3 linked regions of the Yarrowia lipolytica genome follow. The protein of the gene in region 2 interacts with the protein of the main gene of each other region in a pairwise test. Links are inferred from orthologs where the notes say so. Each region holds a gene or a part of one and is shown on either strand. Other genes may lie near its edges.

Region 1 (5,162 bases), on a different chromosome or scaffold from region 2:
ATTATGTCTCAGTTGTCAGTTGGGAGGTTGTGGAGTCAACGCAAGACAAAATGGACAGCCCACAGTTGTCTACTCTACCAACTCAAGACGATTCAAACATCTTGAGACACAACGTATCCCAGCAAATGTGAGTTGTGTATCAACCCGCAACAAGACAACTGTCACCGGATCACCTACAGAACCACAACCCCAACCACCCACAACCACAAAACCACACGACACACCCTCCTACAGCCTACCAGCAGTCGCCTCTCCCTCCTCCAATGTACAATAAGTATTCTAATCTACTTATGAGTCTGAACGCCGTCATCCACGACTCGCGGCATCTGTCGAACCCCTGAAACGACGCGATATCGGCCACTCACTACCCAAACCCACACTGCGCTTCGGTTCTGCCTCGTCAACCACCTTTTCCTGACCCTGCTGCTGCCATCGCAGTTCAACAGCAATATGCAACCACCCAGCAGCACGCAGCAACGAAGAGCTGGGGTATTATGCCATGCAGCAACCCTATCAGCAGGGCAGGCGTTGGGAATGCGAATGTGAATGCGAATGCGAATGCGAATTGCCGGTCACGTGACCTCAGACCGCCCGGCGACCCGGCGACCGGCGACCCGACGACCTGGTCTGAACACGCCTAAACGGTGGACCCGTGGCGCCAACTGTAGCTGCGGCGCTGACTACGACACGGCTATTTCGCCTTGTTTCAGGTGGAAATAGTGTGTAGGTTCAGTTTACAGCCGCTTCATTTATAGGCTTCATTTATAGGCTTCACTTTGGGGCATGTGAAGTGGAGGTTTCAAATAGAGGACGAAACGGAGGGAATATCGGTAATCTGGCAGTTTCAATGGATTCCGAACGGCCATTCTAATATATTTATGTTTTTTTAATTTCAGAAAAATGCTTCTGAAGAGGCCAGGCAGTAGAAGGAGGGTGAGATTGGCGTCAGCGTTGCAAAAGCTTGTCCATGTTTTCGTAAACTAATTTCCAACTAATGTCCCAACTGTTTGCTGTTAATGGTAATGCATACAATTGGCGATATCTGAAAATATTGTATGACAGGGGGTGTTTTTTGTTGTATTTTAGTTATAAACTTGCTAATTACGTATCCATTAATGTCCTCATTATATTTCTACAACCTCTGCATCATTGAATTTGCACCCCCAGCACCACTTTTCTTCCAACTAAACTCCCAACTAATTTGCCAAAGTCTAAGTACTGCAACCGGTAGTAGCCCCAATGTATACTGTGAACCCACCCTTCACCCAACTACCAAAAGACACATTTCACCACTGCGCCACCGAAGCCCAGCTCTCCACTCTGGCAACTCTGGGCATTTTCTTCTCCGGAATGTGCTCTCCTCTCACTTGGCGCGTGCAAGAGCTGAGGGGGACATTTCGTACTAATCACTATACTGCACTGTACACACGGTAAAGCGATAGGTCCAAAGGTGCTGGGGCGACAACATCCCGTTCTGTTCACGTGACCACAGCACCGACGCCCGGTCCGCGTCACGTGACGCCAACAACGTCCCAATCCACGTGACTTGGTTTCTTCTGTCAACATCGTCGCGCGTCTCCACATCACTAAGTTCTCCGTGTGTTGCTTCTTTTCCAGATCTGACACTGTCCAAAGTCTAAAGTCCGCCCCCTGACGTGAAGATGGAGGAGTGTAAAGTCGGGATCGTGTTTTGAAGAGACGGACCTCGGGAAATGAAAGGGGGAAAAGAGACCTTTCCGCGGAGCGTGTCACGTGATCTCCGGAAAACGGGAACCGTGCGAATGTCTCTTTCTTCTGGATCGACGGCGGTACTCGTACTGGCACTGTGCTGATGGTAGTTACAAGTTGTGTCTTCGGGCTGTGTAGTCTTTGTATGTCAGAATACGCATGAAGGGTGCGTATCTTCGGTGCTTTGTTTAGGTTATTTTTAGGTGGGCCAAAAGATACTCGAGATGATGCTTAAAATTGTTATCACTGTACTTGTACACCACTTTTGATTGTTACTGAGAACGACGACAGAGCTCGAGACATTCAAGACACGTCAAGACAGCTCCATTCGGCTATATTCAGCTTACTCAGCTCACTCAGCTTACTCAGCTTACTCAGCTTTCTCAGCTTACTCAGGTGATCACCCTGTTACCCCGAAACAACCAACCCACACCTACAGTCACACCCAGTCACACCCAGTCACACCCAGTCACACTCACTCACACTCATTGGACCAAAGACACCAAGATGAATTGGATCTTTCTGCTCAGCCTGGCGAGCTACGCGCTGGCGCTCCACCAGATCGGATCGGACGCGCTCAAGTCGTGCATGACGTCGTCGCAGTTCACCGCGTCCCGGTTCGACATCAAGTTCTTCCCAGACAACCAGACGGCCAATATCGACCTCAAGGCCATCTCCAACCTGGAGGGCAACATCACCGGCACCATCACGCTCAAGGCCTACGGTATCGAGGTAGTCAACGAAAAGATTGACTTTTGCAAAAACAATATGCCCCAGCTGTGTCCGATAGCAAAGGGAAACTTCGACTTCACCACCACCCTCAATGATATCAGTAAGAACGTGGTGGACCAGATTCCCGGCATCGCCTACACCATTCCCGATCTCGACGGTGTGGTCACCGTGAAGGTCCACTACAACGACGACCCCAACACCATCGTGGCCTGTGTGGAGACGTCGCTCAATAACGGCAAAACCGTCCAGACTAAGATCGCCTCGTGGATCATCGCCGGCGCTTGTCTCATCGGAATGGTCACCGCTGGTGTCGTCGCCATCATGGGCCACAGCAACACCGCCGCCCATGTGGCTTCCAACGCCGTCTCGCTCTTCACATACTTCCAGGCCATCGCCATCATCTCCATGATGGCGGTGGAAAAGCTGCCTCCCATCGCAGCTGCCTGGTCGTCCAACTTCACCTGGACCCTGGGCCTTGTCAACGTCAAGTTCATGCAGGACATTTTCAACTGGTACGTCCAGGCCACCGGCGGAACCTCCACCTTCATCATTCGAAACCGACAGCTCATCTCCGTGTCTGTGGAAAAACGGTCTCTTTACGCGCGTGCTCTCAACGCTCTCTCGGATGAAGGAATTACCAACTTCATTGCCTCGTCTAAAGACGCCATCTCAAGACGAATGGCCTCTCGAGGAGATATGGTGGACATGGCTGTGGGCGTGGGCTTGCATCTGCTCAAACGAGACAACAGCACCCTGGATGATCTGGGATCGCAGACCGAGAACCAGAAGGATCCCCGAATCTACGGAAAGACCCTCATTGTTCGAGGAATCGAGCGGGTGGCGTTTCTGTCCAAGATTGAGCTCACCAACGTCTTTCTTACGGGCTGGACCATGTTTGCTTTTGTCGGCTTCTGTCTGGTGTTCCTGGTCATCATTTTCAAGGTGACCATTGAGAACTTCATCCGAATCAAGGTCATGAACCCCGGAAAGTATGAGGAGTACCGCCAGAACTGGAAGTATATCAGCAAGGGCGCCATGTACCGAATGGCGCTGATTGGCTGGCCTCAAATGTCCGTGCTGTGTCTGTGGGAGCTCATTGAACGAGACTCTGCTGCTGTGGTGGTCATCGCCGTCGTCACCTTCCTCACCCTTCTGCTTCTTCTCTGTTTCGGCGGCTTTAAAATCATCATGATGGCCAAGCGATCCATGTCGCTTTACAGAAACCCGGCCTACATGCTGTATGGTGATCCGGTCACCCTCCACAAGTGGGGTTTTCTGTACGTCAACTTCCGAGCCACCGCCTACTACTATGTTCTTGTCATCATCGGGTTCCATCTGGCCCGAGCCCTGGTGATTGCCTTCGCCCAGAAGGCAGGCAAGGTCCAGGGAGTGGTCTACTTTGTCATTGAGCTGGTCTATCTGGTGATTGTGTCGTGGATCAAGCCGTACATGGATAAAACCACCAACGTGTTCAACATTGCGATCGCGTCCATCATGTTCATCAACGCACTGTTCTACATGTTCTTCTCCCAGGTCTTTGGCCAGCCCCTGTATGTGGGCTCCATCATGGCTGTGGTCTTTTTTGTGCTCAACGCCGCCTTCTCGCTCATTCTGATGATTTCGGTCATCATCTCGTCTGTCCGAGCTCTGCTCTCCAAGGACCCCGATCTGCGATATCAGCCCATGCGAGACGACCGAGTGTCGTTCATCCCCCACAACCAGGCCGAAAAGGACGCCCAGGATACCGAGCTGGATGCTCTGGGAGCCACCATGATGGTCTCTGGCGACGATGTCAACCGGGACCCCAACCGACGCTACTCCTCCGACGACGAGTTCCCTCAGCCCCGGCTTCCCAGAGATACTCTGGCCCCTCATTCGGGCTACGAGCGGCCTCTGTCTGGCGGTCCCTACGACGAGCGCGATCCCTTTGCTCTATCCAATCACACAGTCAACTCCGACTACCACGCTCCGGCGGGCAGTGGAGCCTTCTACTCTCACCAGAATGGCTCTGAGCGCGACATGCCACCGCCCGCCACGTCCTACCGAGGATACCAGCCTCCGGGATATTGAAAAAAAAGTGTAAATATTTATTATCGTCAATCGATCACGAATTATCTGAACGGAATGAATGCAGCCGTGTGTGAGCTGTGTAGATCATGTAACGTAAACGGATACAATGGCTCCATCCTTTCTTGACTCGTTTCCACTTCTGCAATTGAGTCGTAGGAGGTGATCTCACTCATGATCATGACTTGTGCACTAACGTTGGCTCTACAGAATAGTCAGAATAGTCCAGCTCGTGCCAGTCGCGTGATTTGAAACGCGACCAACAATGAGAATGTTTCATAAGCTGCGCTAAGTTGGTGATGTCTCACATTCACATTCGTTTCATGACGCGATCAAACTTGTCTACAGTTACCTATTGCGAAACAAAACTGCGGGACAGTTTCTTCTATCATCTATAAATCATTAATTTATACAATCCGTATCCGACGGATTCGTTTTTCCCATTCTTTTTGTCTGCGTCTCCGTCTAAGCGAGAGAAGTGAAGAACTTGTGGGCGAGCTCGACGCCGACAAAGGTGGCGGCGTTGGCGGGGAATGAACGGGCCAGGGCGGGGCCGATACCGGGGAAGAAAGCCTTGATTCCGCCTCGGGCGTAGATGCTCTTGGTGACCTGGGAAATGCTCTGGGGGGTCTCGG
Region 2 (4,542 bases):
CTCAAAGAAGGAAGTGGCCACTCGAGAACGAATATTAACAGATTGATAGTTTCTTTGATGAGGAATTATAAAATATATTAGCACTAACTGTACCTGCGCTCTTATCTCCTTTAATTTCATCTTTTTATTAGATTTACTGTAGGCAATTGGATCCTTTTTTCGGCCGGGCTCAGTCAGCATGCCGTGATGGGAGTTACACCTTTTGTGTGGTCAAATCCCCTGCTAGGAAAAGTATAAGCAACGAGGAAGTTCGGTATGAGAGTGCACTGTGATTATGAAAAATCGTATGTTCTCTGAATTGAAATTTCTGAATTGAAATTTGTAGGGGTGGTCGGCGACTGCAGTTCGGCCCGTGTTTCAGAATCTGGTAGCTACAGTACTGTACTGTTATAAGGCACGGCCCCGTACAAGTACAGTTTATCAGTAATTCGTGTTACAGTATGTACCTTCTGTACTTGCACATGACTGAGAATAGGCGCCTAAATGTAGTTCCGTGGTGACTTCGGGTGGCTATCGACACAATAATAGCTCAGTGACTAAAGGCACAGCAAAACCTCGTGGCTAGTACGAGTGCCGTACGACTTATTCATAGAAATAATGTGCGTTTTTGTGTTGCACCCTGCCTGCTACTCCCGACAGCCTTGCTCGTCCCGCTATTGCACAAATACAGTATGTACTTGCATCAGTCATGAATTCACAACGTCATGATCAACATGTACATAGTACACACAGTACAGTAGTATGCATTTGCACTGCCCTGGAGAATGCGCACGCGACCACATTCTAAGGTTTAGTTTTATTTTGCTACCAGGTTAACGCTCGTCTACATATATATATATATATAAAATTACTTATATATACTCTATGAGTCCATACGTAATGTTCAATACAGCGTCCAATACCGGGGGTGGGGGATATTTTCGGCAGCGACAGAATATCACCTGAACAAGTTACTCAATATATTATCGACTTCAGATGGGCAAATTGTGAGTCTCACATCATTTTCAGTACCAGGTACTGGTACTTGTACAAGCTGCGCGATGACCAGTTGCTTGTTGGTGTCATAGCCGGCTGTATTGTACAAACGCCTATGCTTGTTTTTAATATATCAACAGCCTATAATGCAGGAAGTATGGCCCGCTCCAACTGAAGTTCTCTATTAAGCAACTACGAAATTAGCTACCTTGTACTTGTACAAGTACAAGTAATACTTGTCACACTTGTTGCATTATTGGGTTTATCGAACCCATTACTGCAGGGGCCTCCCGTGCTCTGTACATCTGATACTGGGACAGTATGTATGTGTATCTCTTCTGGGCTTGCAGAAAGATTCTTCAGGAACTCCTCAGTTCGCGTGCAAGGAAGTCTGTACTAAAACTGGTACTACTTGTACTGCCTTACTCGTATGGTAAGTATACACGTGTGACAATCGTACCAGTACTAATGTAATGTTTATACCGGTACGAGAGCATCTCACACTATATATTTGATTCTAATAACATCCTATTCGAGTACGAGTACATGCCGTACCTTCACTTTCGGAATCTGTGAGTTTGAGTTCATTTTAAGTAATTAACGCGAGAGATGGAAGGTGCATGGGAAGCACGCGTCGTATTCGGATAACACTCAGACACTCGCAGCACGGTCATTTAAGGGCGGGTCATTCGGGCACAATTGCTTGTGTAAATTTAAGCCTCATATTTCACACACATACAACGCTTCCAGTGGTAATTTCAAGAGCCGTACTTTTGTCCTGTTTCGGATAAAAGGTAAGGGTTAGCCAGTTGGGCGGCGTGTCATGTTAGTAATCACAAACCAAAGATGCGGATGTGACACTTGCATTGTGACTCACAAGTAGATTGATCCGTCATCGTGAAGAAACACTTTAGTTCACTTGTTTTATATTCGTCATGCATATTTGGACAGTACTGTACTATTCCTACAAGTTTATACAGTATGTACTTGTAGCTCTGGCTTGCCCGACACTCCTGAACTGCACAACGCATTGGAATAAGCTCGGTCAACTTCAATCATTCATTGCACGTCCACTTCACCAACCACTTCGAACCACAAGAAACAGCCATGAAGTTATCATGGAGTTTATTCTGTGGACTTGCTTCACTAGCCTTGTCACAATTTGATGAGGCACCACCGTCGCAGTCGGACTACTTCGTCCGCCACATTCCTGGACTAGACAGCGTGGACAATTACACGATGCATTCCGGAAACATTCTCACTGATGCAGCTCATAACGGAAACCTGTTTTTCTGGCTTGTTGAGGCTCAGTACAAGATCACAGAGCGCCCTAAAACTATCGTGTGGTTCAACGGAGGACCTGGTTGTTCATCAATGGATGGAGCCCTGTTGGAGGTGGGCCCTTTCCGCATCGTGGATGACAAGCTCAGAGTAGATCCGAACAAGGGCTCTTGGCACAAATATGCCAACGTGTTATTTGTTGACCAGCCCTATGGAACTGGTTATTCCTATTCGGACACGGATTCTTATCTGACTGGCCTCGGGCAGGTAGGGGATGAGATGGATTCATTCATGACACAGTTCCTCAAATTGTTCCCAGAAAGAGCCCATGATGATTTTTACCTAGCTGGAGAATCTTACGCTGGTCAGTACATCCCTTACATCGCAACCAAATTACAGCAAACGAGAACTGTCGATCTTAAAGGTCTACTTATTGGAAACGGATGGATGGACCCCGCGAATCAATATTACCAGTATGTGCCATACGCATTGGACTATGGAGTGATTGAAAAGACGGAAGAACATGTGAAGGATCTCAAAGAGCTTACAGACACTTGCGAGCGAGCCATTAACATCGCCAAGGACAAGAACAACGGGAGACTTCCCGTCCATATTCGAGCTTGTGAAGATATCATGAATGGCATTGTGGAACTGAGCAGAAATGAGCGGAGTGCACCAGAATCTGAAGGAATATGTGTTAACTACTACGACGTATCCAAGGAAGATAAATGGCCATCGTGTGGTATGAACTGGCCTGAGATTTTGCCATATGTCACTGATTGGCTACGACAAGACGCAACAGTGCAGGCTCTGAATGTCAACAACGATAAGCAGGAGTCGTGGCAGGAATGCAATGGAGCAGTTGGTTCCCGCATGCGACAGGGAAATGACGATGCTGCAGTTTACCTGCTACCTGACCTTTTGGAAAGCATGGAAATTCTATTTTTCAATGGTGATCGAGATCTCATCTGCAACCATTACGGAAATGAGAGAATGATTGAACAGCTGGAATGGAATGGAAAGAAGGGTTGGACCGAGGGCTTGGAGCTCGACGATTGGGTTGTCGATGGCGTTTCCAAAGGCAAGAAGCAAAGTGACAGAAATCTGACATATGTTAGGATATACAATGCTTCTCATATGGTTCCCTACGATGAACCCGAGGCTTGTCTGACAATGCTGAATGACTTCATTGGCGTCTCCAAGGCTCTGAGCGACCTATCTGGTAATAAACCTGGAAGGGGTAGTGAAAACCCCAGTGACTTGGACGATCAAAAATCTGGCGACCAAAAATCTGACGACGACAGTTCCAGTGACGATGATGACGACGCGGAACACGATAAGAAAATCGCAAGTGATGCCATGTGGAAGGCGTACTACCAGGCTGGATTTACAGCCCTGATCGTTGTCCTCATTATCCTGGGGCTCGCAGGATTCCTGTTTTGGAGAAAAAACCGAGGCCATATTTATCAGGAGGAGACATCGCTCCTCGGTTCATGTTTCGGAGGTATCTCCCGTTGGAGAAACAGTTCTGGTGGACCACTCTCCAACCAACAGGGTACTTTCGACTCCAGGCAACGACTGATGGAGCCCGGAGAATACTACGATCTTGGTGAAATTGCTGAGGAAGACGAGGATGCCGAAGAGCTTGTGATCCGAAGGCCTGAAGTGTAATAAACATAGGATGATAGAATAAAATAAAATACCGTCGTGAGCACAAATAAACCCTATCCTAGTCTCAGTATTCTATTGTAAACGTGTGTATCTGTGTTGGTGGCAGTTACATTGTGTAATTTGACTACAGCACCATGCGCTGACTTGCACCATGGAGAACTCCGTACCACTTTTTTTGAAATTATTCTAATGATTCATTACAGCTATATATATAATATATATATATATATATATATATTATATACCTCTGCCTGTAGTAAGCTGGGTTCGATAAATCATAAACGTTGCGATATGCATTTCGTTCGAGGCACTGCCATTGTTTGAGGTGATGAATTGTGTATCGTCGAAAAGAGAAAGTCACTAAACAAAAAATAAAATGTAGAAAAATGTGATTCATAGTAACAAATTGTGGAGAAGACGATAAAGGCGTGTGCATTTTTTTTTTTTACAAATAAAATAGATTAAACTCAATAGAATATGAGAAGACTGCCAGTTGTCTCACTATAGGGAAAAAGTTGCCCAATGATATGTTGCTGTGACAACTTGTGAGAAAACGATAAAAGCGTATAGTGATTGTAATACTTAATACTTCGACTAACTGCAACCACAGAATTA
Region 3 (6,668 bases), on a different chromosome or scaffold from region 2:
CTGTGTTCTAAACACCTTTCCCAAGACAGAACAGGAAACCGTGTCTCGATGTATCCAAAAAGCCCAGAAACTAGCGTCAAAAACCATGCTGGAAAATTATCCGGCCTGGCATAAACTGTCAAACTACTCTGTATTGAAGACGACAGCTGCGCAATCGCCCCAGGCTGAATCTCCGTCAGAGTCCATTCTGTCGTCTAACAGCATGTCTTCTTCCGCTACAGCACCCTCGCTGATTAGCTCATACCTCTCGTTACAAATTAAGGAGTCCGAAGTGCGGGAGGAAAACGAACGTTTGGCCCGCCAGAAACTCATTGACAAGCGCAACCAGCAGCGGGAACAGAACAAGCTTTCTAAGAAAAACTCGTCGTCGTCCATTTCCATCCGACGTATCTTCTTCTTCTCTCTGTGTATCGGACTCACCAGTGTCATTCTGGCCATATTCATTTCCCCCAAGGACAGCCGGTCGTATCTCACCAGACATTTTGAGGCTGGAATCCAAGGATCCCTCCAGCTCCTACACCGAATTGCTACTGGTCAGCATTCGTTTTAATTTATTGCAATACAGATTCTAGCTACACATCGTTAACACGGTAATTTTATCATGATTATATATATGCTTTTGGCTTGACGCCTTAAAGTACTTCGTGGCCTTGAGCAACGTTGTAGTCACTGGCTCCGGCAACCGAGTCCGAGTAGACATGAGAAGAGCCCTGGGGTCTAAGAGCAGGGGAAGAGTTAGCAGAAAATCCTTGGTGGTTGTAAGAAGGCATGTGAGGATCGCTCATCCACGCGTTCTGGGGAGGCAGTGGCACGTAGCGTCGCTTGTCCATTTCAAAGTCTCTCCATCGCTTCATGACAATCTGAGACGAGTCAAATTCACCATCCTCCTCGTCGTGGCCTCCAGAGCCCTTCTTTTCACCAGCAACCTGTCGAGTGTCACCCCAGGAGAAATCATCAAACTTCCAGTATGCGTAGACGGGGAGCACAAAGTTCCAAATGGGAAGAGATAGCAGGTAGATGAACATCCACACGACGTATGACCATCGAGATGCTGTGATGATAATGAGAAGACCCGGCAGACCCAAAATCAGAGCCAGCAGAACCAGCGACATGACAGGCGTAGGTTTTCTCACAATGGCAATAATGACAACGTAGATGGTGAACGAGATGGCGGCGGGAAGAATCAGGGTACCAACAAGCTCGATGAAGACAACAAACTGCATGGAAATACAGAAGACACCACATAGATCCTTGACCAGCACCAGCTCCATCAGGTTATGCACAGTGGAGTTAATCCATCGTCTTCGCTGAGACAGCAAAACAGAAAACTTGTCGGGAACAATGGTCTTGCAGACAGCCTTGGACACAAACACCTGTTTTCGCGTGGGGAAGGTCTTGAGCATGAGGGAGGTCAGGTATCGATCTTCTCCGAGAAGCAACAGGTTCTTCTTATGCAGAGTGTCAATCACGTTGTCAGCGTATCGCTCGACGATATCAGGGTTGGCAAGAATGGGCACCCAGTAGCCGTCTCCGCCCTTGGGAGCCTTGATTCGGTACATGGAGAAACAACCAGGCAGACAAGTGACACCACCAAAGACGGACTCAAAGGCCTTAGCCTGGTGATGAGAAATGTAGTATTCAAACACCTGGATCGCAGTGACCCAAGAGTCTCGCTTGTTGGCAATCTTGGTTTCTCCACATAGTCCCATAATCTCGGGATCCTTGACCATCTCAGCCACCATGTGGGTCAGAGAGTCAGGGAACACCTTAGTATCGGCATCCACCATGAGAATGATTTCATAAAAGTCGGGAAGAATACCAGTCACTCGCCAGATACCGTTGAACATCTCGTGCTCCAGCTCGGTCATTCGCTCGTCGAACATGACACGCTGCAAGAACGACATGAGAATGATCTGGGAGTCTCGCTTACCTCGGTTACCAGGCTTGGCCTCGTTGGCCTCAGCAGGCGTACCGCACTTGACAATAGTCACAACGGGGACTCGCTGCTGCTTCTCAGGTGGAACTGTGGCATCATCGTAGGCGTAGAAACCAGAGTAGACCTTGGCCATGTTATGACGCTTTGTACCAGAAGAAGTAGATACGTAAGAGAAGGGTCTCACCTGGTCTTCGGGGATAGGCATATCACACATCATACTTAGACAAATGTCAGGGGTAGACATGTCGTTACCGGAACCCTTAATAATACCATCGGCAATGATAACAATGAGTTTATGGGAGTTAGGGTAGTCGGTTGTGGTGATAGAGTCAAGGGTGGTTCTCAGACCGTCAATCGACTCGGAGTATGCAGTCACCAGACACATGGTGTGGGCGAGAGGGTAGTTGAACGGTTGGTAGTCGATGGGGGGCTGGGGCACAACGTTGACGGTGGGCGCCTCGTAGGGCTGAGATCCAGAGTCGTAATCGTAGACAACACCGCCAACATCAGTGTTGGAGTCGATCGCAGCGGAGTTTCGAGAGTAGACGGAAGGAGCAGTTCCACTCTCACCAACCTGGGTCACCATTGTGCTCATTCGCTTGTTCTTATTGTCGTGCTGGTTGAATCGGTGCTTGATGAGGCCACGGAAGGGAGTGGCACTGGACTTAGGCTGGTCTCGGTCCACTCGCTTGATGGGAGCCTGGCTGTAAATGTTCTCGGACCAGTCCTCAATCTCGTTCTCTCGCTGGTTCATCTGCTTGTTGTCAATGGGGAAAGCTCCCTGCTTGGCAGAAATGGCCCACTTGTAGTAGATAGCAAATAGGAACTTGACGGCGACAATGGAGATAATGAAAACCAGAGATACATACAGAACAACCTGGGAAGCCAGACATCCAATCTGCTCGGTATCAATGTATCCAACCTTGGCAATCTCTTGCAGACATCGGGCAGCCTGTCGATCAGGACCGTTGGCCATATTACGAGAGATATCAGTACCCTTGATGGAATCGTCATCTCGCAGAGTGTCAAAGATCTCGGGGTAGTTGAGGTCGTCCTTAAGAATGAAGTTGACCATGTTCAGGTCAATGACAGCTCCGTTGAACACAGCCAGGTTTCGAGTAGAGTTCTTGATATCGTCCCAGGTGAAGTAGACCTCACCGGCATCAACCAGCTGGTGGTAGTAGACGTTTCGAGCGGTGGTGGAAGTGTGGCATGCGTAGCCGGGGTAGAACTGCTCAGTAGTGTTGGGTTGGGAAGATCCGTCCTGGTTGAGCAGCTGGCAGGGCATATACCAGGCAACGCTGTCGCCGTTGTAGGGAATTTTACAGTCGGGCTTGGGGGTGATTAGACCCTTGCAGTGGTTGTTGACGTTCTGGAACAGCAAAGAACCGTCCATGGATCCAGCATTAACAGGAGGGTACATGAAGTTACCGCCAGTAGGAACCTCGACTGTGGGAGGGTGGTTCATAGAGGTAAAGTCGTATTGCTTACCATTAATGATGAGGTTTCCAGAGTTGACTTCTCCGTTTCGCACTCGGGTGATGGAACTGGAACAAACTGTGATGGTGAAGCCGAAAGTCAGGTATGCAACAAAGGCGGCAATGTAAAGAATAACAGTGATGAGGCCAATCTTTTCTCGCCAGGCGTCCTGTCGGGCTTTTTGGGGCATGCCAAACATCTTGAGCACAGGAGCGGGGGCCCAGAAGGTAACAATCTGACAGTAGGTCATCCACAGCGAAATCTGCTTGGGTTGGGTGCCCATTCGTCGCTTGACGGAGTTGTGTCGCTTCAGTGTTCCTCCTCCACGGCTGAGCTGAACCTTTTCGTTGACAGGTGGGTCGATGATGGGCGGTTGGGTGTCGGCAGCCTGTTCTTCTGATGAGGAGATTTCGTCCGACTTTCGCACGTAGGCCTCGGTTTGGACCTCGTCATTGAGACCATAGACCTGACGGCCCGAGTAGGCGTAAGGGTCCTCCTCTCCCTCTCTGTATGATTCCTCGTTTTCCTCCTCTAGCACCTCCTGGTTCACGGCGTTGTCGTAGGGCTGATCGTATCCCTGACCAGGCTGGATCTCGCCAGTCTCGCGCATGTAGTGCTCCTCGAGAATAGGGTCATTTCCGGTGGAACTGGGAAGCACGTTGATTCTGCTTTGCTGCTGGGCGGCCAGCTGCGAGTAGTGATAAGTTCGCGAGTCGGGGTCGAGTCGAGCTCGGTCAGGTCGAATGAGAGACTTCTTTCGTCCAATGTCGGGGGAGAACGAGCCGTCGCCTCTGTGTTCACTGGGGACACTGCCAGATGTGTCCTGGGGGCCAGTGTTGGGCTCACCCGTCTCCGAGTTGAATCCGAATTTGTTGTACGAATCCACTGTGTTAGTCATGTGTTTGCTGTTGGACCACACGTCAGGGGAGGGGGTGTAATGAAAGAAAGAAAAGAAAAAAAAAACGTGGTCTTGTGGGGAACAGAACGCGTAACGCAGGTCCAGTCGTGGGCCGCGTACTCACTTCTTGTGATTGCTCCGCGCGCTTGAACAATTTAGTCGAAATGTACTCACTTTGTGAAGCTCAGGTGCAATATCCAGCTACTGTACTGTAGTAAAGTAAGGATTTCGATGTTCGAAGGTTTCTGTTTTTCCTTGGACTGCGTTCCAAAAATATACAAACTTAAAATTTTGAGCTGTATGGGCACCTACAAAGTAGTCTTATTATGGCGAAGGGTAAACCCCAGGAGGCTAAAAAAAAAGTACACCAATGTTTGAGTCATAAAGCAGGTACAGTATTTCCGGCGCAGAAACAAATGACAGATTTCGGTTCTTTGTCGCTTTTTCGCCTCCAGCGGACTCGTCATCGACAATAGTCCCTGCAATGCACCACGTGAGGCGGCTATAAATAGACGACTTTTTAGCTAAGGGGTTAACTTTGACTTCGCTACCGACACGCGTCGGTGGCTGGTTTGTGTGCAGGTCAACTGTGTCTCAATTTTATGGTCACCGCTGTTGGGAGCAACCTATAAAAAGCCGACGCATTAATAAGCGTCTGGGGATGAAGGCGCAAATGAGGTAGACAGCAATAATACTTGAATATGATCGGGTAAATAGGATAAAAGCAGAGGCGAATCGCGCTTTTCTCCAATAATATTTATTGTTAGGGCAACATTTCGTCCACTCAATATACACTGATGACGTCATCTACAGTATTGGTGGACAAGGCAATTTTACCAGGACGATAATTAATTACAGTAATCTTGCTGCCATAAACGGATATGCCCAAAACGCCTGTTTCATGACCCTGTTGGGTGCACACAGCCCTCAGTAGCTGCAATGTATTTCCCTACTGTAGAATAAAAAAAATACCATATACCCGCGAAAGGTTGCGTGTTAAGCCACATTTCTGTTGATGCAAATCTATCACTAAGCGACGGTATGTATGAGCTGTACAGTATGTAAGGTATGTACTATTACAAAGCCATTCAGATGTCAGGATGGGGTATGGATTGATGCGTAAATACAATGACCAAAAGGGATGCACCTTCGAAGGTACACAAGAATATCAAATCAGTAGGGAGTAAGGCGTCAGCAAGAGTTCTGTACGCTAATGCAAATAAATAGAGTGGTTCGGCGCTCATTGTGAACATGCTGGTGTCTCAGACACCTTGGACCATCCGCCCATCATCTCCTCAATCACCATGTTGTCCTTTGATCTCCCGAGGCCTAGGTAGTGCTTGGTGAAATCGTTATTGTCCTTGGAAGGCTCCTGAGAAGTTAAGGTCGTGTCGTTCATTGCACCACCGTTCAACACTCGGTTCTGGAACACCAGACGAATGTCCCCGCAAAGATACAGCTTGTCATTGTCCAGACGAACGATAGGAATGTGTGCAGCATGGACTAGGGTGCCTTTGGAGCCAGGGGTGCTCGATGCAGAATAGACCTTTTGCCGAATAAATGTTCGGGTGCCGCTGGGCATTTCAGCAACGTTGTAGGGTATCAGAAAGAGCTTGACTGCTGTCTTTTGCAGGTTGGATACCACCACTTGGAGCTGGCCCACGGGAGGTATCCGGTATCCTGGAAACGTTTTGACTCTGGTCCTTTCACTGGGCTCTCCTTGTGTCGTTTTTCGTTTCTCTCTCCTGGCAAACCGGGCCTGGTAGTACTCTGTTAGAGAAATTATGCCCACGTAGGGGCTTCCTGTGGCTGAGACGAGCGAGCTGGTGTTTGCAATGTCTTCCCAGACCACAAAGCCAGCGTTGAAGGACATATTGATCTGCTTGGGACATCGCAGCAGCTTGTTGCAGCCCCCTTTACCAAGAACTCCAATACCTGCATGGAAAGGGACTGTTTTTGATGTCGAAGCAGACATCCTGCCTGACAGTAGCGACTCCTCATAAGAGCCCACTAGCGACTGGTGGCCCAGCGACGTTCTGCGAGAGGGGGTGGTCTTTGTGGGTGTGGGTGGATGTGACTCATCTTTGGTCGTCTCTTTTTCTTCGTCGTCAAAAACGCTCTCGTAGTTGACGTTTGCAGGTCTGTGGGGGTCAGGCATTGTCGTAACGAGGACCTGCGACGCACCTGGAACTGTCTCTGTGATAACTCAGGAGACGGGGTTTTTGTTGGGGGAAAGTAAGGATGGGGCTCCTTTATAGACGACCTCCTAACCTCGTCTAGTGTGTATCCCATCACCGAGCCGTAGTAGTATCTGTGTAGTGGGCCTGCAACTCGTTGCTTATATAGTGTGGTGAA

The links. The genes of interacting proteins can lie anywhere in the genome.
Region 1: the proteins of YALI1_B07162g (region 2) and YALI1_C03378g interact in a protein complementation assay, tested with the Saccharomyces cerevisiae proteins (2 studies listed by BioGRID). The link is inferred for Yarrowia lipolytica from reciprocal best matches to the Saccharomyces cerevisiae genes KEX1 and FLC2.
Region 3: the proteins of YALI1_B07162g (region 2) and YALI1_C33406g interact in binary tests that used the Saccharomyces cerevisiae proteins (3 or more experiments, as listed by UniProt). The link is inferred for Yarrowia lipolytica from reciprocal best matches to the Saccharomyces cerevisiae genes KEX1 and CHS3.

Annotation. Positions count from the first base shown.
Region 1 is NC_090772.1:335,632-340,793, forward strand, and holds YALI1_C03378g (uncharacterized protein), read left to right. Parts: upstream 1-2,235; coding exon 2,236-4,530; downstream 4,531-5,162. Other genes in the region: YALI1_C03360g (uncharacterized protein), read right to left, coding at 285-414, 471-627, 776-866; YALI1_C03374g (uncharacterized protein), read right to left, coding at 1,270-1,823, 1,886-1,889; YALI1_C03415g (uncharacterized protein), read right to left, coding at 4,993-5,162. UniProt on the Saccharomyces cerevisiae protein: May be responsible for the transport of FAD into the endoplasmic reticulum lumen, where it is required for oxidative protein folding.
Region 2 is NC_090771.1:714,126-718,667, forward strand, and holds YALI1_B07162g (uncharacterized protein), read left to right. Parts: upstream 1-2,082; coding exon 2,083-3,927; downstream 3,928-4,542.
Region 3 is NC_090772.1:3,336,305-3,342,972, forward strand, and holds YALI1_C33406g (uncharacterized protein), read right to left. Parts: upstream 4,314-6,668; coding exon 633-4,313; downstream 1-632. Other genes in the region: YALI1_C33354g (uncharacterized protein), read left to right, coding at 1-550; YALI1_C33427g (uncharacterized protein), read right to left, coding at 5,554-6,471. UniProt on the Saccharomyces cerevisiae protein: Polymerizes chitin, a structural polymer of the cell wall and septum, by transferring the sugar moiety of UDP-GlcNAc to the non-reducing end of the growing chitin polymer.